2 linked regions of the Caenorhabditis elegans genome follow. The protein of the gene in region 1 purifies or fractionates together with the protein of each later gene. This does not show direct contact. Each region holds a gene or a part of one and is shown in the gene's direction. Other genes may lie near its edges.

The links.
Region 2: the proteins of msh-5 (region 1) and Y67D2.2 fractionate together in Caenorhabditis elegans (co-fractionation; one large-scale study listed by BioGRID). This does not show direct contact.

The regions. Positions count from the first base shown.
Region 1 is NC_003282.8:13,147,386-13,163,040, forward strand, and holds the start of msh-5 (MutS protein homolog 5), read left to right. Parts: upstream 1-7,847; coding exon 7,848-8,001; intron 8,002-8,052; coding exon 8,053-8,211; intron 8,212-8,258; coding exon 8,259-8,339; intron 8,340-8,395; coding exon 8,396-8,593; intron 8,594-8,642; coding exon 8,643-8,761; intron 8,762-8,807; coding exon 8,808-8,917; intron 8,918-8,984; coding exon 8,985-9,210; intron 9,211-9,979; coding exon 9,980-10,042; intron 10,043-10,092; coding exon 10,093-10,203; intron 10,204-10,261; coding exon 10,262-10,336; intron 10,337-10,610; coding exon 10,611-10,683; intron 10,684-10,730; coding exon 10,731-10,896; intron 10,897-11,381; coding exon 11,382-12,168; intron 12,169-12,243; coding exon 12,244-12,485; intron 12,486-13,035; coding exon 13,036-13,197; intron 13,198-13,243; coding exon 13,244-13,498; intron 13,499-14,272; coding exon 14,273-14,482; intron 14,483-14,529; coding exon 14,530-14,637; intron 14,638-15,364; coding exon 15,365-15,655. Other genes in the region: nlp-79 (Neuropeptide-Like Protein), read left to right, coding at 2,196-2,269, 2,876-3,020; Protein disulfide isomerase crld-1, read right to left, coding at 3,511-3,722, 4,601-4,738, 5,229-5,327, 5,387-5,513, 5,596-5,690, 6,361-6,463, 6,517-6,613, 6,677-6,759 and 1 more. UniProt on the Caenorhabditis elegans protein: Crucial component in meiotic recombination, functioning at some point after the initiation step of recombination. Plays a role in promoting the crossover outcome of meiotic recombination events.
Region 2 is NC_003281.10:1,551,607-1,567,408, forward strand, and holds the start of Y67D2.2 (Ubiquitin carboxyl-terminal hydrolase), read left to right. Parts: upstream 1-7,193; 5' UTR 7,194-7,275; coding exon 7,276-7,302; intron 7,303-7,352; coding exon 7,353-7,437; intron 7,438-7,503; coding exon 7,504-7,644; intron 7,645-8,608; coding exon 8,609-8,933; intron 8,934-9,721; coding exon 9,722-9,821; intron 9,822-11,688; coding exon 11,689-12,021; intron 12,022-13,371; coding exon 13,372-13,526; intron 13,527-13,786; coding exon 13,787-13,949; intron 13,950-15,802. Other genes in the region: ddx-35 (putative ATP-dependent RNA helicase DHX35 homolog), read right to left, coding at 1-26, 1,001-1,164, 1,230-1,400, 2,593-2,835; eelo-1 (Early ELOngation arrest), read right to left, coding at 4,223-4,563, 5,966-6,266, 6,563-6,672, 6,727-6,801, 6,850-6,916.

The DNA.
Region 1 (15,655 bases):
TTTATTGAAAAATTTTGGACGACAACTTGAACTTGAAATTTGAACGCATGAGGCAGACAGGCGCATTTTTTGCCTTCGAGAAAAGCCTTTTGAAGGCACGTATGGAAAAGCCAATATGTGGGTGGAGCTAATCACAGGTGGTTACTAAAAATTCTTAGCACATTGCTCAAATTTCATCTTTGTCCCAAGTTGGGACTCCCAACTGATGACGATTCATCATAGTAACTTGAGCATCTTTTGTCTATTTTTGGAGCATTTCCCTTTTTCAGGTACCCCCCCCCCCTCCCAATCTCCTCTCCTCACCTCTTTTCCATTTTTGATCCCTTCTTCATTTTGTGTGCTTCTCTCCTCCCAGAGCTCCACCCACTTTTCAATGTCTGAAACATTTCGTCTCATTATGTGTTCCGGAACAGCAAGCCGAAGTCCGATTAAAAAGAACGCGAATTTCTGTTTTTTTTTCTGCATTCTGCATTCTGACGGATGTAGTGACGTTCGGAAGAGATGGCGAGTCTAATTAGAAACTTCCTAGGCATGGGTGGGGGAGTTTCTTTTTGGCCCCCATGCTTATTTTGTCTAGAAGATTGCTTCGTGGTGGTCGATAAAGTTGGGACCAATTTTTTTTTCAAAATGAGAAGAACATGGTGCACCCAAAGCCTCAGCTTAAGCCACAGCCTAGGCCTAGGCCTAAGTCTAAGCCCAAGCCAGGTCTCCGCTTCTGTACTAACCCTCTGGCACCTCAATTTACTACAACTACGTGCTGAAAAGGGTTCCGGAGGTCTAAAAAATGTTGATATGTTGACTTTTCGTGGTCCAGTTGAGTGAGCTTTCCAGTCAAAAGTGTATCTAGTTTGAACCAATGTACTTTTTTCCTCACAAAAAAAAGCACAAAAGTTAAATCATTGTTGTTTTTGTTTCTTTTCAGTAGGCCCCCATCTTCTTCTTTTTCTTCCCGGTTCTCACTATTCTATTCAAATTTCCGGTCCATTTGGTGTCTAATTCAGTAGTTTTGATTACATTACGCACCACCGGAAGATTAATCAGTCGCCCCTGAAACAGTATTCGTTGAGAGCTCTCGTCAGATTGGATTCGATCAGGGGGCCCTAGGGAGACAAAAATTTATAGTATCAAACTTCAATTTCTTCTAATTGTATTGCATGGGCAGTTTCGATGATATCAAAAAATTCACAACTACAAAAATGTAGAGAACAATGTGTTGGGTAGTTTTGTAGTTGACACCATTTTGACTGTATAAAGCCCTAGGCTTGTTCATCACGCGTTTTTCTATTTCGAGCTAATGATGAACTCGCAGAAAACAGAATGTGCTCTGACCAAATTGAAAGTGATGTATGATATGTATAACAGATTTGGCATTTTTCTAAAATCAGCATGTACCTGTCTATTGCTGACCAAGTCACGAGAGAAATTGCAGCGACTTTTCACATTCGTGTCACGTGCAAAGCATATGTCGGTTTTTGCGACGTGGCCTAGAAATAGAGAAGACTCGGCCACCGAATTTTTTCGCGGTCACGTCATATGAATGGGTAGAACCAGAAGGTTTCGGTATTTTGATTTTTTTCGGAAAATAGTATTTATGAAAAATATTGTTTTTCGATATGATTGGAGGGAGAAGTGGCCTAGAAAAAAACTAGATTTTGATAATTTTTGGAAATGATATTTATCTATTTTTTGAAAGAATTTATTCAATTTTCACATTAAATTGATAATTTTAGGATTAAAAAATAACATAATTAATTTTTAAGATTTTTTTCAGTTTTTTTTAGATTTCCAACTGAATATAAACTATGTGAGTGAGTGATTCTACAGAAACCCTTTTGTAGGTGGCCGAGTTTTCTATTTTCTCGACCACCAATCAAAAAGCCACGTCATAAAGAAAGGTTGATCTATTCAACCGTTGACATTTGTGAGCTCATCTGAATGATTGTGCCCACCACCCACAAAACGATGCAACCCGAGACTTTCAACAACTTTTTACAAGTTTAGACAATTTCCACGTTTTGTTTCGAATTTCTCTCTCTCTTTCTCTGGTGCCACGTCATCTCTCTCATGAAGCTCCGCCTATTTCATGCTTCATTCACACTTTCTGATTTCATTCATTCATCTACTGTTTCGTGCATCTTTGCTCTTTGGATTTTTTAGTGCAGTTCAAAAAAATTAAATTCAACTTTTCAGGTAAAATGTCCACTCGGTGGTTTGTGTTCGTCGCCCTGATGGCTCTCGTTTTACTTAGTGCACACACTACAGAAGCAATGTGAGTTGGAAAAAATTAAATAAATTTCAGGCCAAAGTCGGAGCCTAAGCTTAAGCCTAAGCCTAAGCCTAAGCCTAAGACTCATCCTAAGCCTGAGCCTGAGCATAAGCCTGAGCCCGGGCCTAAAACTAAGCATAAGCCGGAATCCAACAAACATAGCCCCCAGGAAATGCCAATCTGAGAGTTTAGTTTTCCCCAAGTTTGAAAATTTTAGATTTTCCAAGAAATGAAGTGTTTCTTTAAAATACATTTTTCCATTGAACACGTCCACCGGAAATGTGTCTGAACCTTTTTTTTTTGAAAAGTTTGAACTCGTTTTTGGAAAGCTCACATTTCCAATTCTCGCCCACATTCTTGAGTGTGAGGGGTCACTTGCAATGTTGCGGAACTTTGAAGAATGAAAATGTGTCGATTTACGCAGTTCGTGTACTCCTCGAGGAAAAGTCTACAATTTCTTTTGCGAAAAAATACAAAAAGCAGCACATTTTGACGAAAAAAAAAACTATTTATAATATTGCGAAATTGCTCGTAAATCTACAAAATAAAATGCTGGCCTAGCTTTTTCTCTTCCACTCTTTAACCTAAAAACCCCAAAACAATTTCCAGGCCACGTCCGGGACAAATGTCATTGAGCAACACACGAAACTGTTTCTTCTCGCCAATGGGATGTGTCTTCGTACCAAAGATGTCACGAATCCGGAAACTTTCAGCTGACTTTCGCAACGAAATCCCGCCACCCGACTACATTTGATCTATTGCTGCTCCACCGCGCGCCACGTACATCGCCACGTTTTCTATCGATTGGCGTGTTTTTCGCCGTATGATCTCTCAGTTCGTTCACACATTTCACGATCTCTTTCTTCTAGCAGTTCTTCTCATTTTTTTTAAAGTTCGGCATAAATCTACCATGTTATTTGAAAAATGTGATATATATATATATATATATTGCACATAGAAAACAAGAGAAAAATCACAGACAGATCGGGATTGAAAGCAATCAAAAAATGCATATATATAGCAACAATAAATAAAAAATGTTAAAATTAATATAGGCTATAATTCATCCTTCTCATCGTCATCGTCTCCATCCTCATCTTCATGAGCTTGCTGTTCCGTTGCTTTCAAGGCTGCAAATTTTGAAAAAATGAAAATATTCTACATTTTATTGATGAATTTCTGAGCAAGCGCTGTTAACTGTTTAATAACCGTATAAAACCAATAAAAAAAATTTTAAAAATTGTTCAATATCCTAAAAATCGCTTGGCCTCGTCGGGAATTGTGTCAGGATTAACATAAAGATCGACAAGAATCAGGGCGACGATGGTGATTCCCGTTAAAACATAGAGCACTGGGGATCCGTGCCAAACGACGAAAGTGATGATGATGATGAGAGAGGAGAAGGCAATCAATTTGAGTTGCTGGTCGATTGGCATGAACGGGCGATCAGGAGATGCTGAACCATGGTGAATAGAGGAAATTGGAACTGGGTGAAGGAGCCCCTAGGGAACATGCAGAAGCTTCAGACTTTGTTAGGTTTACTTATATAACGCTTTCAATCTCTCTACAGAATCGTAGAAATCTCCATCCGATCTAGGAAACTTGAGCGCTTTTTCCTACGCTTTTTCCTACGTGGCCTAGAAAAAGTAAAAACTTGGCCAGCGATTTATCTTGAATTTTTCACGTTAGATATTTTTGGAGCTCCAGCTGAAGCTTCCCCACAACGGTTTTGAATGGCCCTAACTCTTTTTATGAGGGTGGCCGAGTTTTCTTATATCACGGCCACGTAGTAAAAACCGTTCTGTGTGTGGGGTTTTGTGAAGAGGACGTTATATTCCTGGTGCACAAAACTCTGAGAATGCGTATTGCACAGCATATTTGACGCGCAAAATATCTCGCAGCAGAAAACTACAGTAAGATGACTACTGTAGCGCTTATGTCGATTTACGGAAATCATTTATTAATCGATCAAAAATATTGAACATTTTTGAAAAAATCACAAAAATTACAATTTGAATATTGCTGTCACTTTTTTCCCGAAAATCGAGCCCGTAAATCGACACAAACGCTACAGTAGTCAATTACAGTAGTTTTCGTTACAAGATATTTTGCGCGTCAAATATGTTGTGTAATACGCATTTTTTATGTTCTCGCAATATATTTTTTGAACCATGATTTTTCAGAAAAGCTCGTCCCTTTTTTTTGGAAATTTTTGTTTTTAATGCAATTTTTCGATTTTTTTTTGAAAACTGAAATTTAAATTAGATTATCCAGAAGTAAACCAGATCATGCTTTGTTAATACCACATTCAAATTGAAGAAAAAAAAAACGAACCTTCGACGTCAAATTGACAATTTTGCTCATCATCCTTCTTATATCCTTCCTTACATTCACACTTGAACGATCCGACAGTGTTCACACAAATTTCGTGCTCTTTTGTGCATGCGGACTCGTTTTGGCATTCGTTGACGTCTGAAATAAGGATTTTTGATTAATTAAAAGTTAAGATGGCGGTTCAAAAATTTAGAATTCTAAAAAAAAAAAATTGAAATTCGCATTGAATTTTATAGATTTTTGCATAGTGTTTCGGCAATTCTGCAAATTTTAATTTTTCAAATAAAATGTTTTTCAGCAAAAATCTGGTCTGGAAAATGTTAATTTTTCTCTATAAACCAGATTTTACTTTTTTTTGAAAATGACACGAAAAATCTATGCTTTTGTGAATTTTCCAGGTGAAAACTTCAAAATTCAGAGCTTTTTATCGGAAAAATCACGAAATTTTTTCACTTTTTCCAAGCAGAAATGGGGAAAAATCGCGAAATTTGTGCTCTCAGTCCCAGTTTTTTTTCACAATTTTTTGATTAGATAGAAAAACACGAAAAATGGAGATTTTTCAAAAACTTTTCTTTTTTTCAAGAATATTAAATGAAAATTCAATTTTTTTTTCCAACTTTTCTCATACCTGCGCACCCTTCTTCTGTCAATTTCCACCCATTTTTACATTTTGAGCATCCTTTTGAGCTCTCCGATGAGCAAACTCCAAGGCAGCCCTCGTGGCATTCTGAATTTTTTCAATTATTTATTTTTTCGATTTCAAAAATTAAAAAAAAAAAAACAAACTTTTACAAACGACACCCTGCACTGTCCGAGATTCTTCGAAATACTCGATATCACAGTATCGGCATAGATTTCCAGTATATCCAGTCTCACATTTACACTTTCCACTGCCTTCGCGGCTTCCATCTCCCTGAAAATTGGATTTTTGTTGGTTTTTTTAAAGGGAAAAATTAATTCTCAATTTTTCAAGATTTTAAAGAAAATTGACTAACATGACAGGATCCTTTTCCAAAACAGACATCAGCTTTTTCACTTAATCCAGGACATTGTTCGCAGTTTTTACCAAAGTGTCCATCAGGGCAGCACACTGAAATTTTTTTATTTATTTTTTGCTATTAAAAGTTTGGAAAATATTATAAAATATTGCTTAAAGGCGCACGTTATTGTTTAGATGGGTCTCGCCGCGAAAAAATATAATTACGGTTTTTTAAAATTAAATCCGAAAATTAATTTTTTTGCATTAATTTTCGCTTAAAGAATTTCAATTTTCAATCACAAATTTCTAGTAAATCGAAAAATATTAATTTCTAGCTATTTTTAATCAGAAAATTGTGAAAAATCGTATTTTTTCTAATAAAACTACAAAATTTTCGCGCTTTTCACAGTAAAAATAGAAAAAAAACTCAATTTTTAGTATGAAATTTGCAAATCTTTGGCGATTTTCAACGGGAATAATAACATTTTTAAGTTTTCTGGCGGAAATTTGTTGAATTTTGCGATTTTTTTGCTTGAAAATTCGGTTTTTATTGAAAATTAGGCTCTCGAAAAATTTCAGACTGGAAATTCAATTTTTTATTGATTTTTCGGGGTATATTGTGAAGAATCTAGTTTTTAAAATGTTCGTTTTATTCGCGATTTTCATTTAGAAAATAGCGAAAAATTCAATTTTTGAGGCCGAAATTCGCGAATTTTCAATGGAAAATGCGTTTTCTTTCGATTTTCATACGTTTTTATAGTCAAATTTAAGAAATTTTTACATTTTAACTGCTCAACACAGAGCCAATTTGACATATTATTGTGTTGCTGGTTGTAGTAGAACTCTTCAATTGTTTCTTCATGCTTTTCAAGTTGAGTAGAGCACTGAAAATATAGAAATTACAGGGTTTTTATTAAAAATTTAATTTTTTGAATACTTTAAACTCGATTTCTGCGATTCCCATAAAATTGTCCATATTTGGGAGCGACGATTTCTTGCAAACACCTTCGAGAACTTCGATTAGCCGGGTTTCACTGAAAATTTTGATTTTTTTTTTAATTTAAAATATTTCCAGCGCCAAATTTCGAGAAACCAACCTAGTTTTGTACTTTCCCAGATTTTTCTCTTCCCAAGCTGTGTCTCCACCGGCAAAATGATGGCGAGCCGTTTTTTTGAGACCCTGAAATTCGGAATTTCTTTTTATTTTATATTTTTAAATTCATTTAAATATAAAAATAGAGCACAAACCTCATCAAATGTGCTCACTAGAAAATTACACGTCCTGCATTTTTCGTTTTTGATGGTGACTTCTTTTTGTGACGTGGCACCAATTAATACAGCAAGCAGGAGCAGTATCCGGCTCATTTTCACCCTGAAAAATGGAAAAAATTGGATTTTTATGTAGCTTTAAGACACGACAAACCGTTATTTTAGAGAAATTACACGCAGAATAAGCGAATGAGCGCGGCCGAATGCACTGCAAATTGTCTACGTTGTCCAGTTTCTCGGCCCTGTGAGCGGAGAAAAGAGAGGGAGAAAAGAAAAATGAACAAATATTGGCTTTGACCGGGATTACTAGCAAAAGAGGTGACTGATGGAAGAGGGAACAATTAAATATTAGAAAAATTCGAAAAAGTTAATTATTTTCGCTGGAAATCACCTTAATTTGGGGAGTTTCGAAAGAAATTTTGATAAAAATAGAATTATCCACTTTTTATTTCGTGAAAAAAACAACAATTTCGACTGAAAATCCAGCTTTAATTCGAGAAATAACAAATATTTATTTATTTAATTAAATTAAATTAAATTAAAGAAAATAATTGAATTACTGTAGTGATCGTTGCGGGACCCGATGAACCGAAATCGGTATGCGCCTTGTAGTTACGGTAAGAAAAACGGGCGGTGTCGAGAATTTAATTTAAATTGCATTTCCAAAACAATTTTCCTCGTTTGAAAATAAATTTTACGAGTTTTTGGTTAGTTTAAATGCTAAAAACTTGATTTAATTTAATAAAACGTACCTAAAAATTCAGTTTCGTAGCAGAAAACACGAAAATTTCAGTTTTTAGTAAAATTTTCGGAATTTCTATTTTCAAGTCTTGTTTATAGTTACTTTTTATGGTGTTCAATCAACTTTTTGAAGTTTAAAATGTTTAAAACGTTTAAAATTACTTTACAAGAACCGAAAAAAACCGAAAATATTTCAATTTTTAGTTTTTCAGCAACCTTTTCTTAAATCAGAAATAATTTTATGAAATTTTGGTTCAAATGTCCACTCGATGGAGATATTACAATTCAAAACGCGGGAATGGATTCCGCGGTCGAGGCAGAGGCCGAGGTCGCGGTACAAGCTTGACCGCCGTCGCCTTACCCCGTGATGATAATTTTCACAAGGGAGCTCAGGATGGCGCTTATTTCAAAGGTTAACTCTAGATTATTCCTATTTTCTTTAAATAATTTATTAAAATTGCAGACATGCCGATGGATCCGGAGCAATTTCGGGATGAAACGGTGCTCAGTCTTTCTTTTGCTCAAGGAATGCTCGGAGCTGCCTACTACGAGCAATCAAGCCAGTTGTTGAAGATCATGAACGATATTTCAGAAGATCTTGAATTTAGATTCTTGAAGAGATGTCAGTTTTAAATCCAAAAAGCTTGAAATTCAACTCATTTTTTTCAGTGATAGACGATGTGAAGCCGACGCTAATAATCGCAAATAGAAGCCAGGATCTCGAATTTATCAAATTTTTGACCACGCGGTGTATGAAAATCATTATAAAAATTGAAAAAAAAAGATTTTTTTAAAATTTTTTTCAGATGATCCACAGGAAAAAATCTATGAAGACGGGACTACAGAAGAAGGAACATCAGAGGATACGGTTCCGACATGGGATTCTTCGCTAGCTTATTCTACTGACGAGACAACGGCGGAAAAAGAAGAAAAAGAAGAAGACGAAGATGATGATGACGAAGGATTACCGGCGAAGCTTAATAAGCTCCCGAACAACTTTTTCAGTTGCTTAATAATCTCCAAACATTTTTGATTTTAAAAATAAATTTGCAGGAATGTCGCGAGCTATAGAAAGATTAAAGGCGATGGCCGGGTCCCATGACAGTTCGATGACGGAAGAGGACAAGTACATTATCATCAAGATGAGATTTGATATTGAAGCTGTTAATATGGTTAGCAGATCTCTGAGCCAAAAAAAAAATTATTTTCCATCTTCAGATAAGATCATTTGGAGCACTTCTTCTTTTCCTCGATGAAACTAGGATGGGCGTGACAGACGATCCTTTGTCAGTCACTTCACCTATCAAATCTATCAAGACATTTACATTGTAATTTTACTATTTTTTGTTTTTTATTTCCCTTTGAAACAAAAAAAATCATTTTCTTCTTTTTCAGAGGAAACCTGGTAGAAATCGATTTCAACACAATTCAGGCGCTGGATATTCTGCCAAAGGAAACCGAGAATAAGAAGACTTTCGGACAAGGTAGATCACTTTATCAGTTGATGGATAAATGTAGATCAACCGTTGGAAAAAAGTGCCTTCGAAAATGGTTTAGAAATCCGACTACGGATAGAGATGATCTTGTGTCAAGACAAAAATGTGTGCACTACTTCAAACAGGTGATAATCTTTAAAGTGGAGTACCGAAATCTATGGGAAATATTTTTAAATCACTCCAAATTTTCCCCTGATTCCGAATATCTAAGTGAAAAAATATTTTTAAAAAAGAGATCCCTGATTTTATATTTCAGCTTGAAATCGCGATTTTCAAACGCAGAATTTTCGCGCCAGAGACGGCATGTGTCGATTTACGAGATTTGTGTATATTTACGAGATTTTCAATCTTTATCAGATGCTGATTTTCATTTTTCAACGAGTTTCTTTCATTTTCGTCGGTTTTGCCAGGTTTTTTTTTAAAAGAAAATGTGTTTTTAAGGTAAATTAAACATTATATTATCGAAAAACTACAAAAGTTTCGATTTTCTGTCGGGAAAAGAAATTTTGATAGATTTTTGTTGATATAATGTTTAATTAACCCTAAAAAACGCATTTTCAAAAAAAACCTGGCAAAAACCGACGAAAATGAAGGAAACTCGTTGAAAAACGGAAATCAGTATCCGATAAAGTTTAAAAATCTCGTAAATCGACATGTGGGGCGTCTCAGGCACGAAAGTTCGGCGTTTGAAAAGTCTCATGGGGACGCAAATGAAAATCGCGATTTCAAGCTGAAATATAAAATCAGGGAAATTTTTTTTGAATTTTTTCACTTAGATATTCGGAATTATGAGAAAATTTAAAGTCATTTAAAAAAATATTTTTTGTATTTCGGTACTCCACCTTTAATAAATTATCTTTTCGTCAAATATATACATTTTTTTCTCAAATTTAGGACTGGAACGCCGAAGTGACCGCTAAGTTATCATCAATTCTTGGAAGAGTGAAGGCTCTGAACGTATTAAATAGCAATCAAGTTTAATTTAATTCATTTTTGGCCGATTTCAGAGTGTATTCCAAAAATTTCAAAGTGGAACAGCTCAGCTCATTCATTGGGAGTGCTTCGTATCGACAGTCAACGCGCTTGTTGAAATCTTGAATATTATCAGGCAGACACCGGTAAATTCAAATAATTAATTTTTATAAAAAAGCGAGGTTTCAAATAATTTTTATTCAGATTTCGAAGGAGTTTCCTGTAGAATCAGATCTTCTCCGAGAAGTCTCTGAAATTGCAGTCATCGCGGGCTCCATTGTATGTTGCCAAGTGTTTTCTAAAATACGGTACCTGGTCTCGACACGACAAGAGAAGAGTACTGTACTTTCAAACTTTGTTGTCGCTGGCATTTTCGTTAACAATCTCGTGTTTTAACTCTTTCGTTGAAGTTTTTTAATCGGAAAACTGTGAAAAATCGATGAAAATTCCAGAGCAAAAAAAGTTTGCGATTACAGTAGTCGAACCACATTTATCAAAACTTTGCCGTGCCGAGACCAGGAATAAGATTTAAATCAAACTTCAAAAATTTCAGATCAACTTCGCAGAGTCGAAGATTCAAGGAAGAGTGACAGTGATGAATGGAATCGATGAAGAATTGGATGAAAGTATTTTTTTTAATTGTTTTCAAGCCCTTATTTTATTATTTCTTCAGTACGCGACACATATGAGAACATGCCAATGGTGCTCACTGCAATTGCTAAACAGGAAGAAGCTCGACTTGGTCTACCACCGTACTCTAATGTGGCGTGTGTCTACATACCACTCGTCGGATTTGTTCTTTCAGTTCCAAGAGATTACGGTGTGGAATCACAGCCTGAGTAAGCAATTCAAATCAAAATGAAATCACGCTCCACCCCTAAACGTTGGGTCTCGTTAGGAATCAACGGAAAATCCGATTTTCAAGCATTTTTGACCTTTTTTCAATTGTTTTTCTAGTTTTTATGCAAAAATAGTGCTAAAAAAGTGCATGTAAAATTGGACTTTGAAGTAGGTTAGTTTTGACGTAAAAAATAATGGAAACAACGGAAAAATGGTGGAATTGTCCAAACTGATGATAATAAATTCATAGGCAAAACTCATCTTCATATGCACTTTTCAAACATAATTTATACATGAAAACCATTAAAAACGGTTGTGAAATTGGCAAAAAAAAATGAAAAATCGGAAATTTGCCGAAAATGAAAATTTCCGGCAAATCGGCAAACCAGAAAATTGCCGGAATTGGAAATTTCCGGCAATTTGCCGATTTGCCGAACAGCAATTGCCACCCATCCCTGGTTCTCATCATATTGTAATTTCACAGCATGACTCTACTATACTCCACACACGAAGACTTACGAGTGAGAAATGCCACAACATCAAGATTAGACGACGAATTTGGAGATATTCTAATGAGATTAATCGACAGCCAGACTGCAATCATTCTCACTTTGAAGACAAGAGTGATGAAGAAAAAGCGAAGTATCATTAAACTTCTCTCTATTGCTTCTAGAATCGATGTGCTCATTTCGTTCGGCCTAATTGCTGCACAAAACGGATGGAATTGTCCTGCTCTTGTAGATGAGCCCGTGATTGAAGCCGTCGAGCTATATCATCCGATTAGTGTTCTAGTTGTCAAGAAGAGTTTCGTACCGAATCAAGTTAGTAGTGGTCGAGATGGAATTAAAGCAAGCATTATAACAGGACCAAATGCATGTGGAAAGAGTGTCTACATGAAATCAATTGGAATCATGGTTTTTCTGTCTCATATTGGAAGTTTCGTGCCAGCTAGACATGCGAAAATAGGAATAGTCGATCGAATTGTTACCAGAATGTTTACTGTGGATTCAGTTCTCGATGGGATGTCTACATTTGCAAAAGACGTAGAACAAGTTGCGTTGGCATTGAGGAAAGCTACTGGCAACTCATTGGTTATCATTGATGAGTTTGGAAAAGGAACAATGACAGAAGTTGGACTTTCTCTTTTGGCATCTGTCATGACTTATTGGATGAATAGGGGAGCTGATCGATGCCCTCATATATTCCTATCGTCACATTTCCACGCGCTTCCAAATTATATTCCTCTTGAAACTAACATTGCAACTTTCTTGGTGAGTTTTCTGTTTTTTTTTTCTTTGAAAAAATTTGTTAAAATAATTCTCTGAAATATATATATTCATTCCTAGACGTTCACAGTTCTCCGTGAAGCTGGTGGCAAGATCAAATACCTTTTCCGTATGACTCCTGGCTTGGTTGATTGCTCGTTCGCACTGTCGGTTGCTAAAGAGGAAGGAATTCCGCCACCTGTAATTGGAAGAGCTTGTCGAATTTATAAAGCATTAAAAGCTGGAACTCTACTCAAAGAAATTAAGGCAGAAGTTTCGAATGACAATGAAAAACAGCTTGTGGAAGACATGGATGTTGTTCTGTATGATTTTTGAAGTATTTAATGGAGGAAAATGACCAAAAATATCGGAAAAAAGCAATTGCCGTTTGGCAAATTTTTTGTCAAAAAATTCGGCAAGTTGCCGGTTTGCCGATTTGCCGGAATTTTTCAGTTCCGGAAATTTGCCGGAAGTTATTTATTTAATAAAACGGCAACACTTAAAACTGTGCCTTTAAAAAATAAAATTACCCGTTTTCTCTAGATATTTTCTTAGAATTTACTTACTTTTCAAAATTCATAAGATGCGTACAATTTCACAATCGAAAATTCTGAACCCCTGACAAGTCTTTTCAAAATTTAAAAAAAACACTTAATTTTAGCTAAAATACCCCATTTTGCCAATTTCTAATTTCCTTTTCGAAACGGAAAAGTTGTCGAAATTGGAGATTTAAGCTAGAATCAAGTGTTGTTTGTACTTTTTGGAAAAGTTCGGTACGAAATTTGCTCCTTTTGGGCTATTTTAAAGATAATAACGCGAAAAACCTTTGATTGGCTCCTACAACAAAAAAAAAATTAAAACTATATTTTGCAGTGCTGATGAAGATGGTTTCATGGCCGCAGTAGAATCATTTGTGAAAAGAAAGAAAACATCATTTTGCGAATCATCAATGCGAAATGTGAGCGAGGAAATTGAAAAGGAGAGATCAGAAGCTTCTACTCCGGCATCGAAAAGTCGCAGTACCATCACAGCCAGGTTATTACTGTGAAAATTGTTTTTTTTTAAATTAATTTTATTGTAGATCAAATAGTGTTCTTTCATCGCGATCGATGGCTTCAGTGGATCAACTTTCTGTGCTCGATGCCTTGTTACCAAAAAAGAAAAAGAAAAAAGTGACAGGTAGTAGTATGGAATCATCAATGTCTCCTGATCCATTCCAAGAAGAGGATGAAGGTACTGAAGGAGAGGAAGATCAAATAAGTGCACCTGTATCTCGACCAACACTTCCGTCTGTACAGAAATATGCCAGTGAAGAAGAGAAGCAGCAATCCATAAAGTATCTGGAAATTTTCAGTTTATTGTTCTTCCCAAAATTATAGAAAAGTGTTGGCAAAGAATTTGAGATTCTATTTTTTTTCGTCAATTTTCCAGTTTTTAAAGTTAAAAATTGATTTTCAGGGAAAAAAAAGAAGAAAAAAAATTCAAAAAATTTACTTTTTTTCAAATTTTGTTTAATAAGGAAAAGCATTTAAAAAAAATGTTTAGAAAAAATGTTTTAACGATATTTTTTATTTCAAAGAAAAATCGAAAATTAATTTTTTTTTCCATTTGTTAAAACTTTTCCAATTTCTCTATAAGAACGTTTTTATAAATTACAACAAAAAAAAATCGATTTCGGTCATTATTATTCTTTTTAGATAGAAAAACGATATGTTTTTGTGGGGTTTTACTCATTAAAATAAACAAAATTTTAAAATGATTTTAAAATTGTTGATTTTTCGATTAATTCTAAACCCCGAAAAATTAAAAAAATTCAAAATTTTTTCGACAACACCCCGGCGAAAAAATATAGAAATTATTTAGATAATTTTTCAATTCCGCAAAAAATAATCGAAAGGGCCGAACTTTTTTGAATCCGTAAAAAAATGTTAAAAATTAGGTCTCAAATCGAGAGGCCAAGAGAAAATGTAGAAAAAAAACGAATAAGTTTAGAAAAATGTCGAAAACTAGGTTATTCATTCGTTTTTTTCTTCAAAAAAAAAATTTAAAATTCTATTAGACGGTTTTCTGTCATTTCGGGCTGATTTCGTTAAAAAGTGCTCATTTTCAGCTCCCGACACTCATTCTCGACTCGAACTGCAATACATATTCCAACTCCAATCCAAATGGGTGAAGCTGGTGGTGTCAAAAGGCCTAGATCAACGTCTACTTCATCACCAGGTCCTTCAGCATCAAAATCAGTCAGAACTGAAGTTTTCAAGAAGACACCAAATGTGAAAGAATCACAAGTTCTCGAGACCCCAAAACAGCTTTCCATAAGGTGGGCTTTGGAAGCCCAATTTTTTTTGCATTTTATTGATTTTTCAGCTCATTCCTCGAACCAAAATTTCCATCGTCGGAGAAAGATGTGATCTCCAGAGTCAGTGAACGATATTTGCAAAGTGATCCATTCAAGACGCCGATCAGTGATAGAAGGTTCCATTTTTCAATTCAATTTTCTATTTTGGAGATCAGTGCTGGGACCAAAACATGCAATTTGTAAAAAAACCAAAAAAAAAACGTCGAATTTCGATTTATTTTGAAGTTTTTGGAATTGAAAACAAAAAAAACACACATTGCTGAAAAATTATTTTTTTTTGTAAAATATTAGGCTTACAGAAAGTGAGTCTTTTTTGGATTAAAAAATTGAAAAAAAACCCTTTTAAAATCGATGTGAAAACGTTCCGCCTCCAACCGCTGGGTCTCATTAGGTATTTGGCGGTAAAACCGTGAATTTAAGCGTTTCAGGCATTTTTCGGCATTTTTTAAAAATATTTTTTCCGTTGTTTTTAATGATTTTCATATCGAAATGATATTTGGAAATCTGAATTCACATATGTTTTTCAAAAAAAAAATTCGATATAAAAACCATTTGAAACTGGCGAAAAATATTCCAAAAATTTGTTGAAAACGCTTGAAATTGCTGGTTTCCGGCAAATACCTAACGAGACCCATAGTGAGGGGGCGGAGCATCTTCATTTCGCCGTGGAGCGCGTTTGAACGTCGTTTTCAGAAGATTTTTAAAAATTTTTTTTAGATATATATAATCCAAAAACAACAAGGTCCGATTTTTCGATTTCCCGGAAAATTTTTCCTTAGGCCAAAATTTTGGAAAAAGAATTGGAAAAATCCTTCAAAATAGTTCACAATTTCAACATTTCAGGTCTCAACAATCTTCGCGCCACAGTACTCCAAAAAATCGATCAATGAATCAATCATTGATTCAGAGTGCCAGAGATACTCCTCATGAAACAATTCGATCTTCAAATGAAGTGAATCCAGAATTTTTTAACATTTTCAACTTCCCAGATGATTCGATTCTGAAATCACAAGATACATATGATCCAAATGTCACTCCAAGATCATCATCTCGTCGTGAACTCAGACCGGATGTGTCTCACTCTCAGAATAGTCAATTTGGCGAAGTATTCTCTGAGTTGGGCACACAGTTCTC
Region 2 (15,802 bases), on another chromosome or scaffold:
CGTGTGCCTCGTCAATCATGATAATGCTGGAAATTTTTTTTTTGAAAAATAATTTTTTTTTAATCGAAAAATTGAGAGATTTTTTGAAAATTTGAAGATTTTCACGTAAAAATTCGGATTTCCCATTTAATTTCACACCTAATAAGCATTTTTCCCGGCCTCAATTCCAAATTTTGAATTTCGAGGGGTACGGTAGCGCCAAAAGTACGCAAACACCGAATTTTACGACATTTTGCACAAATTGGCTGAAAAAGCTGTTCCAGGGGTGGAAATTTACGGGGAATTTGAATTTTGGCATGACAATGTATAGAAAACAATTTGAAATTTGAAAATACTGAATTTTTTGTTAAAAACTTTTTTTCAGAATTTTCCAGAAGTTTTCAAAGATTTTCAGACTGAAATTCGAATTGCTCGTCAAATTTCACCCCTAAAAACCTTTTTGGGGCTTCTAACCCTATTTTTGAATTTCGAGGGGTACGGTAGCGCCAAAAGTACGCAAACACCGAGTGTCTTGCGTACTCGGCACCCAACCTTACGACAGTTAGTCTAAATTGGCTGAAAACCGGATTCCGAGGGTAAAAAATGATGGAGAAGTCGAATTTCGTATTGAAAATCTGTAAAAATCACAAGTTTTTCGGGAAAAACGAAAATTTGGGCATAGCTTCCGCATGTCCGAGTGACAAATGTGCTCTATTGCCAAATTGTTGGCAGAAATACGGTATTTATTCACATTTTTAGCCCAATTTATGACTGAAAATGTGAATAAATACAGTATTTATGCCAAAAATCTGAATAGAAGCACAAAAGTCACAGGGGAAATATCGATTTTTTGGGGAGCAAGGGACATTTTTCCGTAATTTTTCGGGGAAAATGTGAGTTTTTATCAAATTTTTCTATGTTTTAGCAGTTTTCTGCAAGAAAATCCTGTTGAAAAATTGTTTCTAGGCGGAGGATTTTCGGATTTCTTCAAAATTTTCCGGGTAAAAATTCAAAAAATCACCTATATTTCGATAATAGTGGATCTGCAAGGATCTCCCTCAACAATAGCCCATCAGTCATAAATTTGACTTTAGTATCCTTATCCGATACATCATCAAATCTTACAGTATACCCAACGTCGTGCCCCAAAATACAGTCCTTCTCCTCGGCGACTCGGGTGGCTAACTGCAAAATTTTTCAATTTTTCACCCAATAAATTTCAGGTATTTGAATTTCCCGCCAAGCCATACCGTAACCACGGCCACCCTTCGTGGCTGAGTAATGACGATTTGGCGGCCGTCGGCCGCCCAACCGGCTTCTAGAAGGAATTGGGGTACTTGAGTGCTCTTTCCGCATCCTGTTTCGCCGACAATGATTATTGTACGATATCGTTCGCACATGTAGAGAATGTGACCGCGATTCTGAATGAAAAATTAATTTTCATTTGAAAAAAAATTTTCGAAAAAAACAATTTTTTTTTTTTTTGGAAATTTTTTTTTGAATTTTTCGCAGATGTTCAATAATTTTACACTTTTTATCTACTTTACCACTAAAAAATAGGGTTCCAGCTCAAAATTTAAATTTCGAGGGGTACGGTAGCCCCAAAAGTACGCAAACACCGAGGCTTGCGTACTTGGCACCGAACCTTACGACAGTTTCTTCAAATTGGCTGAAAACCGGGCTCCGGGGGTAAAAAGTGATGGAGAAGTCGAATTTCATACTGAAAATTAGCGAAAATCATCGGAAAAATGCTAAAAATTTGAAGTTTTCCGAAAAAATGAAAATTTGGGCATAGCTTCCGCATCTCCAAGTGACAAATGTGCTCTATTGTCAAATTGTTGGCAGAAATACGGTATTTATTCACATTTTCAGCCCAATTTAAGACTGCAAATGTGAATAAATAAAGTTTTTATGCCATCAATACGAGTAGAAGCACATGAGTCACTGAAATTTCAATTTGGGAAAAAATTTAACTTATTAAAAATTTAGCTTCAGTTAAAACTACAAAAAATTATTGAAAATTTTTTATCTTGAATTAAGAAAAATTAAATAGTAAAGAAAAAAAATTAATTCAAAAAATCGAAAAAGAAATTTTTATTTTTTGGAAGAAAATGTTTTTTTTTTTTTGAAAATTACAGTTTGTAGGTAGGTAGAGTGTATAAATTTGAGCTTTTTTGATATTATTATTGTAACATTTTGAAAAAAAAAAACAATTTCAAATTTAAACAAATCGATATTTTTTTTTCGAATTTTTCAAAAAAATATTTTCCAAAATTTTTTTTTTTTAGTTTTCAGGATTTTTCTCAATTTTTTAGCTCAAACTGTGCAAAATTTAATTTTCTCACAACTGCACAATATCTGAATTTTTTCGATTTTTATAGAAACAGTTTTTTCTCGAAAAATCTTTTTATTTTTTTTTTAAATTGTTAAATTTTTAGCTGGCACTATGTGAAAATTTTTGGTCTAAAAAGAAAACTGGGACAAATGTTTGAAAATTTCAAAAAAAATTTCCGAAAAAAATTTTTTCATAAAAAAAAAAACTTTCAAAATTTTTTTCACAAAAAATTCAAATTTCGCGGCGCCAAAGAATTTCCCGTAGAACATTTTCTTCACCTTAAAAATAGGTAATCTAATTCTCTGCTGTTGAATATTCAATGAAGCATATGGATTATTGTGCACTTTTAGTTGCTCTTCAATCGGCGGAGCTGCTCCCGCGTTTTCGGTAGATCGTTCCTCGAAAATCAGTGGTCCGGTACGTGGAGCGTCTGCAGAGTCATCCGGTCGAGCAAAACCACGACGGGCTCCGGCTCCTTTTCTGGGCTCCTGACGGTGACCGTGTCCCGGGTGATAGGACATTTATGGCTGAAAATTCAAGTTTTTTCAGTGAAAATTTTAGATTTTTCACTGAAAAAAGTGAGAAAAACTATTTAATTCATGGAAAACTAAAGAAATTCGGAAAAAAAACGCCAAAATTGAACAAAAACCCTTTCATTTTCAATGATGGCCTAGAAATCCAAATCCACGTGGCCTAGAATTCCAAAACTCGGGCACCAATAAATTCAGCTCACTGAGAGCTTTCAAATAACCCCCAACATGCCCAGGTTCCGGTGATTTTGAAATTTTTGGGTCTCGCCACGCGGGGTACTGTAGCACCGGTTTCAGCTGTGTCGAAACGCGAAAAAAACTCAAAATCGCCGGAAATAGGGCATGATGGGGTTCAAATTGAAGCTGAGAATAGCGGGAATTCGAATTTTTCAGAATTTTCAAGAAATTTATAGAAAATTTGAGTTTTTCTGGACTTTGGACTAACTTTTTCAAAAAATTTCAAAAAAGTGGTTTTTTTTTTGAAAAAAATAGTTTTAACAACCAATTCGCACAAAATACTATTTAAAACTATTTGGTAAAACTAAATTTCCGAGCAAATTTCGAAAAAAAAGGTCAAAATCTCCGATTTCTGAGTAATGGCCTAGAAACCCCAGTTCTCGTGGCCTAAAATTCCAAAACTCTGCCACCATTGAACTCAGCTCACTGAGAGCTTTCAAATGGCCCCCAACATGCCCAGGTTCCGGTGATTTTGAAATTTTTGGGTCTCGCCACGCGGGGTACTGTAGCACCGGTTTCAGCTGTGTCGAAACGACGAAAAACCTCAAAATCGCCGGAACCCGGGCATGATGGGGGTCAAATTGGAGCTGAGAATGGCGGGAAATCGAATTTCTACATGGTTTTCAATAAATTTTTGAATTGAAAAAAAAATTGTAGAAAAAGTAATAAAATTCGAATTTTACAAATTTTTCAGCTACCATATAATAAAAGGACAAGAAATTCGCAGAGGAATGACTATTATTTTCAAAAGATTTTACGAGATTGGTATAAACAAATTTTAAAAAAATAATTCTAAAAAAATGGGGAAAATTTCAAAGAAAAATAATTTAAAATTCCAATTTCAAAAATTTCAAAAAACGAACGCCGAATTCGAATTCTCCGAGTCATCAGCTTTCAAATGACCCCCAACATGCCCGGGTTTCGTCGATTTTGAAAATTTCGGGTCTCGCCACGCGGGTTACTGTAGCACCGATTTCAGCTGTGTCAAAACGGCGAAAATTCAAAATCGCCGGAACCCAGGCATGTAGTGGGTCATTTGAAAGCTGATGACGTGGAGAATACGAATCTGACATTCATTTTTGGAAAATTTCAAAATTTCACAATTTCAACAATAAAAAATGCGAGAAAATTATCGATTTTTTCACTTTTTCTTTGCCGATTGTTCCTGAATCTTCTTCTGCTCGTCGGCGATCGCATCATAAAAGCAATTATCGGGAAAAACGTGCGGATCGAAGATATTTTTCGCGAAATTCGTGCCTTTTTCGTCAATTTCGAACGCATCGATGAATGTTGTGTAGCTCATCGGATTATTGTACTGCTGATTGCCTTGAATTTGTTGATTTAGATCGGTTCCGAGGGCTTTTTGACGAAAAGCATGCTCAAATCGTGTTGCAATCGCTGGATTCACTTCGATCTCCGGTGGTGGCGGGATTTTGAGCTGCTGCTCTCTGGTGCTCTCGGCGGCTCCTTGGTGAGTTGGAGCTGAAAATTATAATTTTTGTTTGAGAAATTTCAGTTAGAAATTCAATTTTACACTATAAACCTTGAAAATTCTCCGAAAAATTCTGAAAATTACAAGTTTTCCGGGAAAAAAAAAATGAAAATTTGGGCATAGCTTCCGCATGTCCGAGTGACAAATGTGCTCTATTGTCAAATTGTTGGCAGAAATACGGTATTTATTCATATTTTCAACCAATTTTAGCTATTTTTAAGCGGAAAATATGAATAAATACAGTTTTTATGCCACCAATCTGAGTTGAAGCACACAAGCCACAGGGGAAATATCGATTTTTTTGGGACTTCCCAGCTTAAATTGCACAAAGATTGAGCTTCTAGCAATTTTTATTTGAGCAGCTTGAACATAGAAAATTGAATTTTCATGATTATCGATGAAAAATTCTCAAAGTTTCTGGCGTTTTCTATTTTTTTTTTTTTGGAAAGTTTAGCATTCAAATGTGTGTTTAACTTTTAAAAGTAACTAAAATTCAACAAAAATTGCGTTGGTGTAGTAGAAAAAGTTAGGCCACCATTTTTTTTTCGACTAAAAATTGGCTAAACGGGTTAAGATTCATGCTTTTTTTTAAAATTTCCACTGAATTGGTATAAAAGATGGACAATTCAGCCTTTTGCTCAATATTTTCACTTTTGAACAGAAAAATTCCGAAATTCCAATTGGTGGCCTAGATTTTCCAGAAGTTCGGAAAAAATCGCCAAAAAATGAAAATTTGGGCATAGCTTCCGCATGTCCGAGTGACAAATGTGCTCTATTGACAAATTGTTGGCAGAAATACGGTATTTATTCACATTTTCAGCAAATTTAGTGCTGAAAATGTGATTAAATACAGTTTTTATGCCAGAAATCTGAGAAACGCACAAGTCACAGGGGAAATATCGATTTTTAGAAGATTTTATTTTTTTTTTAACTGAAAATTTCGCGATTTTCAAGTCAAAAAGGTTTTTATTACCATTATTTGAAATAAAACTTTCAAAAAATCGATGAAAAACGGCTTGAAACCATCATTTTCAGATTGGTGGCCTAGAAATTCCAAAAGTTAGGCCACCAATCTATTTTGTGCGAAAAAACCATTTCTAGGGGTAAAAATGAGTGGGAAACTCAATTCTCAACTGAAAAACTGAGAAAAATCACTAGAAATTCGAGATTTTTCGCTTTTAAAATCATTTAGAGAGCTTTTATAGCTGAAAAATCGAAATTTTTTGATTTCCTGGAATTTTTGCTAAATTTTGTACGGTGGAAATTGAAAAAAAAATCCAATATTTGGTGTTTTTCTATAAGAATTCTGATTTAGTCGATTTTTAGCTCCCAAAACAGCTAGCTTGGTCTAGTTTTGTAATTTTCTAGGCCACCACTAGAAAAATCCCGTACTTTTATCGAAATTTTCCGCCGAAAACGGTGAATCCACAACTGAATCCCGTCCAGGCGTATCTGAAGGTGAAATTTCATCGATATTCATTCGTAATATCGCCTCATTTCCCTCTTTAATTGCTCGATCAATGAGCTCTTGCTCTTCGTCACTTTCAACGTCACGGCTCTGTCGTGGCGGTGGAGCCGGTTCTCTGATCTCTGAAATTGGCGTGGCTCCGGAGATTTTAGGCGGTTCGGAGGAATCTTCATCGTCGTCATCTCCGTCTCCGGAATATGAAACCAATGAAGTTGTGGAGGCGGCCTGGAAAATTTGAAATTTTTTGGCCGAGTTTTAGATTTCTAGGCCAGCTTAAGCCTAAGCCTAAGCTTGGCCCTAAGCCTGAGTTTAAGCCTAAGCCTGGGGCTCAGCCTAAGCCTAGGCCTAAGCTTGAGCCTAAGCCTAAGCCTAAAATCGCTGATTTTTGACGGAAAATTCGAATTTTTAATCGGTTTTTCACATTTTCCAATGCCAAATTCAATTTTTTTAGCGGAAATTCCGAGTTTTCGCGTCAAAATTTCGTGATTTAGCCGTTTTCCCGCGATTTTCACAAATCCTACATGTGGCATTCCAATAACTGGAGTTCTGAACGCTGCTGGCGATGGAGAATGATCATCAAGTCGTTTTGGAGCCGGTGGCTCGGCGAAATCCTTCGGCGAATCCTCTTCGTCTGAAAAAAGCCCATTTTTTGGGCGATTTTCCCCCAATAAAATCGATAATTTACCTCCATAAACGTCGGAAGCTCGTCGTTTTCTCTCTTTTTCGAATTCTTCTTTGAATTTCTGCGCTGTGCTTTGGCCTGGAACAATTTAGAAATTTAATTTTTATGATATTTCCGGCGAAAAACCTTCTGATGACCTTCTTCGCGGCGATTCATCATCACTTTCTCCTTCGTAATCCACTAAATTGTTCATTTTTTGACTGAAAAATGCAATAATGAGCTTGAAATCTGGGAAAAATTGATATTTTATACAAAAAATAAATATTTTTTTAATTCGAAACTTGTCCGAGAGGAGTACACGTCAGGTGGTCCGCAAACACCGTCACGTTAGAATGCACAGAATGCATTTAACTTGACGACGTTTCCACTTTGTTTTTCATCATTTTAATCAATTTTGAGCTATTTTTCAGCTATTTTATGAGGATTTCTTTGATTTTTTTCAAATTTTAAGTTAAAAATTCGAATTTCAGAATAATTCCGACCCAAATCGATGTTCGTTGTGCCCTGCTAAGCGTCTCCGTCGCGCTTCTCACATTTCTGACGCCATTCACAATGGATTTACGTGGTTATTCGCCTCAAGTAACCGGATTTTTCGCGTGTTTCTCGAGTTTTAAAGCTATTTTTTGCAGACAATCGTCGCTGGGACACTTATTGGTGGAACACTTGCCGCTGCAGTGACCTATGCGTTTTTGACAAGCAGAAATGGTGAAGAAGGTGCGGTTTTTGGCGGGAAAATCGATTTTTTTCGTGGAAAAAATCAATAAAACTTGAAATTTTCAGCGTCCAGCAGCAGACTGGTGCCCGGATTAGCGAATCAGGGCAATACATGCTATATGAATGCACTTTTGCAAGGATTGGCGAGCTGCCCGTCATTTGTCGGGTGGTTAAAGTCTCTGAAGCCTCAGGATATTGGAATTCAGGGTAAAAATTGGAAAAAATACCAAAAAATAGAGCGAAACATTGGAAAAATCATAATTTTCACACGAAAATTCGATTGAAAATGAAAAATTCCGGAAAAAATGCAAAAATTAACAGCTTTTCTTACAGAAAACTACTAAAACCCAGCAAAATTCGATGAAATCTCACATTTTTCCCCCGAAAACCGCTAAAAACTGTATTTTCCTCAGAAAAATCGATATTTCCCCTGTGACTTGTGTGCTTCTACTCAGATTGGTGACATGAAAACTATATTTATTCGCATTTTCAGTCTTAAATTGGGCTGAAAATGTGAATAAATACCGTATTTCTGCCAACAATCTGACAATAGAGCACATTTGTCACTCGGTGATGCGGAAGCTATGCCCAAATTTTCATTTTTTCGAAAAACTTGTAATTTTCAGCATTTTCCAGTGATTTTCACAGATTTTCAATACAAAATTCGAGTTCTCCATCACTTTTTACCCCCGTAACCTGGTTTTCAGCCAATTTGGACTAAATGTCGTAAAGTTCGGTGCCAAGTACGTAATGCACTCGGTGTTTGCGTACTTTTGGGGCTACCGTGCCCCTCGAAATTCAAAAATTGGGCTAGAGGCCCGGAAAAAGGTTTCCTAGAAGTAAAATTGCACGGGGAATTCGAATTTTAGTGTGAAAATTGCTTAAAAATCCATGAAAATTCTGAAAAAAAAACGTTTTAATCTAAAAAATTCAAAATTTCCAGCTAAAATGGGTTTCCGCAGTTTTCAGCCAAAATTTGTGATTTTTCCAGGCTTCACCATTTTGCACATTCCAAATTTTTACCTAAAAATTTCAATTTTTGTCCTAAAAATTCCAAATTTTAACCTAAAAATTCCAAATTTTAACCTAAAAATTCCAAATTTTAACCTAAATTTCCAAATTTTAACTTAAAATTCCAAATTTTTACCTAAAAATTCCCACTTTTTTCCAGGCGGCTTCGTAGATCACCTCTCCAATTTGCTTCATTTGCTCAATGAGCCAACAGGCTCCACCCTCACAGCTCAATCAATAGTCGAAAGTTTAAAGGCGCATGGTTGGAGTATTACTGTAGGCGTTGAACATGATCTCTACGAACTTTTCAATGTATTTGTAACAACTTGGGAGGATGAATTGAAGAGTTCCCGGCGTATTTTAATGAATCAATCGATTGAAAATTGTCATAGTAGTAGTAGTGAAGATGATGAAGATGTGGTGGTGGAATCGACGAGTTTAAGAGGATCCCCGTCAATTATCAGAAAATTGATGAGTTTTCAGAGGTTCGGACGTGGAAAATTAGCTAAAAATCGGGTTTTTTAACCTAAAAATTGCCGTGTTTGACCTAAAAATCGCATTTTTTTGCCTAAAAATTCTCTTTTTTGGCCTAAAAATCACCTTTTTTGGCCTAAAAAATCACATTTTTGACCTAAAAATCACCTTTTTTGGCCTAAAAATCACCTCTTTTGGCCTAAAAAATCACATTTTTGGCCTAAAAATTACCTTTTTTGGCCTAAAAAATCACATTTTTGGCCTAAAAATCACCTTTTTTGCCTCAAAATCACCTTTTTTGGCCTAAAAATTGTCTTTTTGGCCTAAAAATCACCTCTTTTGGCCTAAAAAAATCACATTTTTGGCCTAAAAATCACCTTTTTTGACTTAAAAATTGTCTTTTTTTGCCTAAAAATCACCTTTTTTGGCCTAAAAATCACCTTTTTTGCCTCAAAATCACCTTTTTTGGCCTAAAAATTGTCTTTTTGGCCTAAAAATCACCTCTTTTGGCCTAAAAAAATCACCTTTTTTGGCCTAAAAAATCACCTTTTTTGGCTTAAAAATTGTCTTTTTTTGCCTAAAAATCACCTTTTTTGGCCTAAAAATCGCATTTTTGGTCTAAAAATCATCTTTTTTTTTTGCCTAAAAATTCTCTTTTTTGGTCTAAAAATCACCTTTTTTGGCCTAAAAATTGTCTTTTTTGGCCTAAAAATCACCTCTTTTGGCCTAAAAAATCACATTTTTTGACGTAAAAATCACCAGAAATTTCTGATTTTCACCCAAATTTTCAAATTTTCAGATGCGCCTCAATGGCTCGAATTGACGCGAGCCTCCGCTCACCGTGTGTCGGCCTAACTGCCACAGAATACAGATGTTGCAACACAAATTGTGGATATAGGGTACAAATTTTGTGAATTTTAGTGCGAAATTTGCGAAAAAATCGAATTTTCAGATTGATTTTCGAAATCCCCACACAATTTTACACCCGGATCAAGTTTTTCCAGCTTTCTAGCTTTAAATTTGAGTTTCCCGGGGGTACTGTAGCGCCAAAAGTACGCAAACACCGAGCATCCCACGACAAATTGCACAGTTTTCGTATTTTTCACGTTAGAGCCTTAAAAATTGGGTCCCCGGGGTGAAAAGTGATGAGGAAAACGAATTTCTTACCGAAAACAAAGGAAACCCACGAATTTCTAATTTTTACTCAGTTTTTAATAATTTTCAATGCCATTTTCGAACTCCCCGCCATTTTTAACCACTGAAACTCTTTCTCCCAGCTTTCTAGCTTGAAATTTGAAATTTCCGGGGTACTGAGGCGCCAAAAGTACGCAAACACCGAGCATCCCACGACAAATTGCACAGTTTTCTGAAATTTTGAGAAAATATGAAAAATAGGGGTAAAATGGTGCTTTGAATTCGAATTTCGCAGTGAAAAATCGCAAAAGTTCCTAGTTTTTGAGTTTTCCTTGAATTTTCTCTGAAAATCCCCTAAAATAACCGAGAAATCGATATTTCCCCTGTGACTTGTGTGCTTATTCAGATTTTTGACATAAAAACTGTATTTATTCACATTTTCATCCTTAAATTGGCTTAAAATGTGAATAAATACCGTATTTCTGCCAACAATTTGACAATAGAGCACATTTGTCACTCGGACATGCGGAAGCTATGCCCAAATTTTCATTTTCGCCCGATTTTCGGCACATTTTCGATGGTTTCGGGCGATTTTTAGCGCTAAAATTTGGTTCTCCGCTTGCTTTCACCTTAGTTAGTTTGTTTTTAACGAAAAACGTTTTGGTGGCCGAACTTTTCGGATTTCTAGGCCACCAATTCTAAAATGTTGATTTTTGGCAGTATTCATAGTTTTTTCCGGAAAAAACTTTTAAAATTTAAAACAAAGTAGCACGTTTTTGAGCTCCAAAATTAGAGCATCAGGTGAAATATTCTCCAAAGTGAGCATTTTTGCTCAAATTTCCGAAAAAATATCTAAAAATTTTGATTTCTGCAGAATTTTTCTATAATTTCAAAACTTCTAACTTGATTATCTCTGATTTTCATTGTATAAGTCTGAAATTTTCGGAAAAAATTCCAAAAAATCGATATTTCCGTGGCTTATGTGTTTCTACTCGGATTGGTGGCATAAAAACTATTTATTCACTTTTTTTCATAAATAGGCTAAATTTGGCTGAAAATGTGAATAAATATCGTATTTCTGCAAACAATTTGACAATAGAGCACATTTGTCACTCGGTGATGCGGAAGCTATGCCCAAAACCAATTTGGACTAATTGTCGTCAAATTCAGTGCCGAGTCCGCAGACACTCGGTGTTTGCGTACTTTTGGCGCTACCATACCCCTCGAAATTCAAAAATGGGGTTAGAAGCCCGAAAAACGGTCCATGAGGGGTGAAATTAAATGGGGAATCCGAATTTTTGCATGAAAATTGCTAAAAAAAAACCTGCAAATTCCTGAAAAAAAGTTTTTATCCAAAATGTTTTTTCAACTTTCAAAATATTTTTTTCTCGTTTTTATTGCCAAAATTCAATTTTCCCGCAAATTTTCACCCCTTGAACTGTTTTTCAGCCAATTTGTGCAGTTTTTAGCAAAATTCCGTGTTTGCGTACTTTTGAGGCTACAGTACCCCTCGAATATCAAATTTTGAGCTAGAAGCCCGGAAAACGGGCTCGCCAGTGGTGAAATTGAACGGGGAATCCGAATTTCAGCATGAAAATTGCTGAAAAATCTCGGAAATTTTTAACTTTGCAGACAGTAAAATACGAATCCTTCACAGTTCTGACTCTGGCAATCCCAAATTCTCAAATGGGAACCTCCACAAACACAGAATCCCTGCTCCGCCGTTTCTTTTGCTCGGAGATCATTCGCGACGCGATTTGTGACAAATGTCGGGCTTCTGACCGGAAACAGCAGGGTTTTCTGAAAAAACACGGAATTGTGAAGCTCCCGCAGACCCTAATGATTCGAATCGAGCGAGTTGGAATGCTGCCAAATGGAAGTATGAAATTATCGGAACACGTGCATTTCGGCGAATGTCTATCGCTGCAGGACGTTTGTTTTCGGAAAAATCCAAAAATTAATCAGGTTTGTGCTGGAAAATGCTAGAAAATTGCGGAAAATTGCGGAAATTTTGGGCAAAAATTTGCGAAAAATGGCGAAAATTTTTATTTCAAATTTTTCAAGAAAATCAGTAAGAAATTCGAATTCCAGACGCAATCAGCTTTCAAATGACCCCCAACACGCCCAGGTTCCGTTGATTTTGAGTTTTGGAAGTTTTCGACACAGCTGAAATCCGTGCTACAGTACCCCGCGTGGCGGGACCCAAAATTTTCAAAATCCACGGAATATGGGCATGATGGGGGTCATTTGAAAGCTGGTGGCGTAGGGAATTTGAATTTGGCGTTGGCTGTTCGAAATTCTGAAAATTGACAATTTTTTGGCCCGATTAATTTTTTTTAAAGAATTTGTTCAATTTTCGATATTTCCGAAAATTAACTATTAATCTGAGTTCTCCACGGTATTAGCTTCCAAATGACCCCCAACACGCCCAGGTTCAGTTGATTTTGAATTTTGGAAGTATTGACACAGCTGAAACTGGTGCTACAGTAATCCGCGTGGCGGGACCCAAAAATTTCAAAATCGACGGAATACGGGCATGATGGGGGTCATTTGAAAGCTGGAGATGTGGAGACCTCGAATATAATGTGAGTTGGCTGAAATTTTTCAAAAATTGGGAATTTTTTATCGTTTTTCGAAAAATGTTTCAAAAAACTTAAACAAAAAATTTTTCTTTTTCGATTTTTCTGAAAATTAATGCAATATTTGAATTTTTCACATTATTAGCTTCAAAATAACACCCATCATGCCCATATCCCGTTAGTTTTGAAGTTTTCGGGTCTCGCCACGAAAATTCTTCGGGTTACTGTAGTTATTCGCCGCGGGACCCAAATTGCACGGAAACCAGGCATGTTGGGGGTCATTTGAAAGCTAATAACGTGGAGAACTCAGATTAATTGTTAGTTTTCGGAAATATCGAAAATTGAAAAAAAATTCTTTAAAAATATTATACATTCGGCGAAAAGTTTGTCAATTTTCAGAATTTCAAATAACCAGCATTTTTTCTGAGATCTCCAAGTCACCAGCTCTCTAATGACCCCCATCATGCCTAGGTTCCGCCAATTTTGAAAATTTTGGGTCCCACCACGCGGGTTACTGTAGCAACGATTTCAACTGTGTCGGTTGGTCAAGTTGCTCGGAACCTGGGCGTGTTGGGGGTCATTTGAAAGCTGAAAATGAGGAGAATATGAATTTATTACTGAATTTCCAAAAAAAAAAATTCAAAATAGAAATAAAAACTGTGAAATTTGGGTGAAAAATGCTGCAAATTTCCGCCAAAAATTGGATATTTCCCAAAAAATTCCCCAATTTTTCCAGAAATCCTACGAAGAATCATCTTTGCATTGGCAATTACCAGATGGAACATCCCGTGTTGTCGGTGGAGCTGAAGAAACAAGATCCAGAAGATCACCAATTCATCCATCTCAGGCGGCGATTTTTGGAGATTTAGCATCAAATTATGCACTTATTGAGTGAGAAAATCGGAAAATTGGCGAAAAATGATGGAATTCTGGAATTTGCTGGAAATTTCGCGAAAAAAAGCACAAAATCTGTACTTTTTTCACTTTTTTTCGAAAAAAATTTCACTGAAATTGAATTTTTTCGGCAAAATTTCATCCGGAAAAATGCTAAAAATTTGGGTTTTCTTCAAATTCTCTCGAAAAAAGAGTAAAAATCCCAATTTTCAACATATTTTTCCCCCAAATTCAGAGAAAAAACCCCCGATTTTCAGCGGTGGCTCATTCGTTGCCGAGCGACGTGAAGCTCAAAAGTACGCATATCAACTGAGAGCAGTCAGTGAGCACAGAGGAGGTCCATATTCTGGACATTTTGTCACTTATCGAAGAGCAAGTGCTCCAAATCATCATACATGGTATTATACCAGTGATGCACAGGTAATAAATCTCTGCAAAATCTGGGATTTTCTGCTGAAAAATCGATTTTTTTATCTTAAAATTGCCTAAAAATTTAATTTTTTGCAAAAATTGAAAAATTTTCATTTAAATTCGAATTCTCCACGTCTCCAGCTTTCAAATGACCCCCAACATGGCTATATTCCGTCGAATTTGAAAATTTTGGGTCTCGCCACGCGGGTTACTGTAGCACCGGTTTCAGCTGTGTCAAAACTTCCAAAACTCAAAATCGACGGAGCCCGGGCATGTTGGGGGTCATTCAAAAGCTGAGAGCGTGGAGAATTCGAATTTCAGCTTTAATTTAAGATATTGAAAAGTTTGAAAAAAAAATTATGGGAAAATTTTGAGAATCTTGGATAAAAATTCGGAAAAAATAGGGAAATTCGATTTTTTTCACTGATATCTATTAAAAAGACAGTAAATCATTAAATTTTGCACAAAACCACTGACGAGTGGTAGTTTTTCCTGAAAAATTGAAAAATTTTGGGGAAAAGTCTCCTAAAAACTGCTGAATTATCAATTTTCCGGAAAAATGCCGGAGAAAACCCTGAAAAGTTCAAGCAACTTTTTGACTTTAAATTCTATAATTTAAAAAAAAGTATCCCAAAACTTTGAATTTTCCCTGAATAAATTTCCACAAAAAATCGATATTTCCCCTGTGACTTGTGCGTTTCTCAGATTTCCGGCATAAAAACTGTATTTATTCACAGTTTCAGTCTTAAATTGGCCGAAAATGTGAATAAATACCGTATTTCTGCCAACAATTTGACAATAGAACACATTTGTCACTCGGAGATGCGGAAGCTATGCCCAAATTTTCAATTTTTCCCGAAAAACTTTAGATTTTCAAGAGTTTTTTCGGCATTTTTAGCTAATTTTTGACTGCTGTTTCTCAATTTTCAGTCAAAAAACCAAGAATTTCGATTTCCAGTAGTCTTACCTAAAGGCATTACATATTGATAACATGGTGAAATAATTTCCGGTGTGCTCAATGAGACACACCCCTGCCTACCAGAGGTGGGAGGATATTTTTTTCGGATATTTTCTAATAATGAATTTATCAATAAGTATTGATGTAGTTATTCTGGAAGAAATGTATCCGAACAAAAGAGTAACTATTAAGCAACATTTTAATATGATAAAACCTAGAAAAATTCTACAAGTTTTCTGTATAAACGATATGTAAGTCCATTATCCGATATCCGTAATATCCGATATCCGATGTTGCTCGACTAATAAGTTTTAAGGTCTCGGTAAGAAAAACTTGTAGAATTTTTCTAGGTTTTATCATATTAAAATGTTGCTTAATAGTTACTCTTTTGTTCGAATACATTTCTTCCAGAATAACTACATCAATACTAATTGATAAATTCATTATTAGAAAATATCCGAAAAAATATCCGCCCACCTCTGCTGCCTACCAGGGGTGTGCGGATAATAGCCGATTTAGCCGAATTCGCCGATCGGTTAATTCGGCTAAATCGGCTAATATTAGCCGAATTAGCCGTTAGCCGACTTTTTGGCAGTTCGGCTAATACGTAGTTATCCGTTAGCCGATTTTGGCCGATGTTAGCCGAATTCGCCGATCGGCTATTTCGGCTAATTCAACTAACATATTTTTTTGGAAAACAAAATGTGGTGAAATTGTATGATTTTTTCCTATTTGAACAGTCGTTCATCCCTGAATTTGCTCAATAACAGTGAAAAAATTAACCCAAAACCTGAATTAACAGAATGGACAAAAAAAGCTTAACCAAATGAATATTTTCCGAATTAGCCGAATTAGCCGAAAATTAGTCGATTTGAATGACTGAGATTAGCCGAATTAGCCGTTA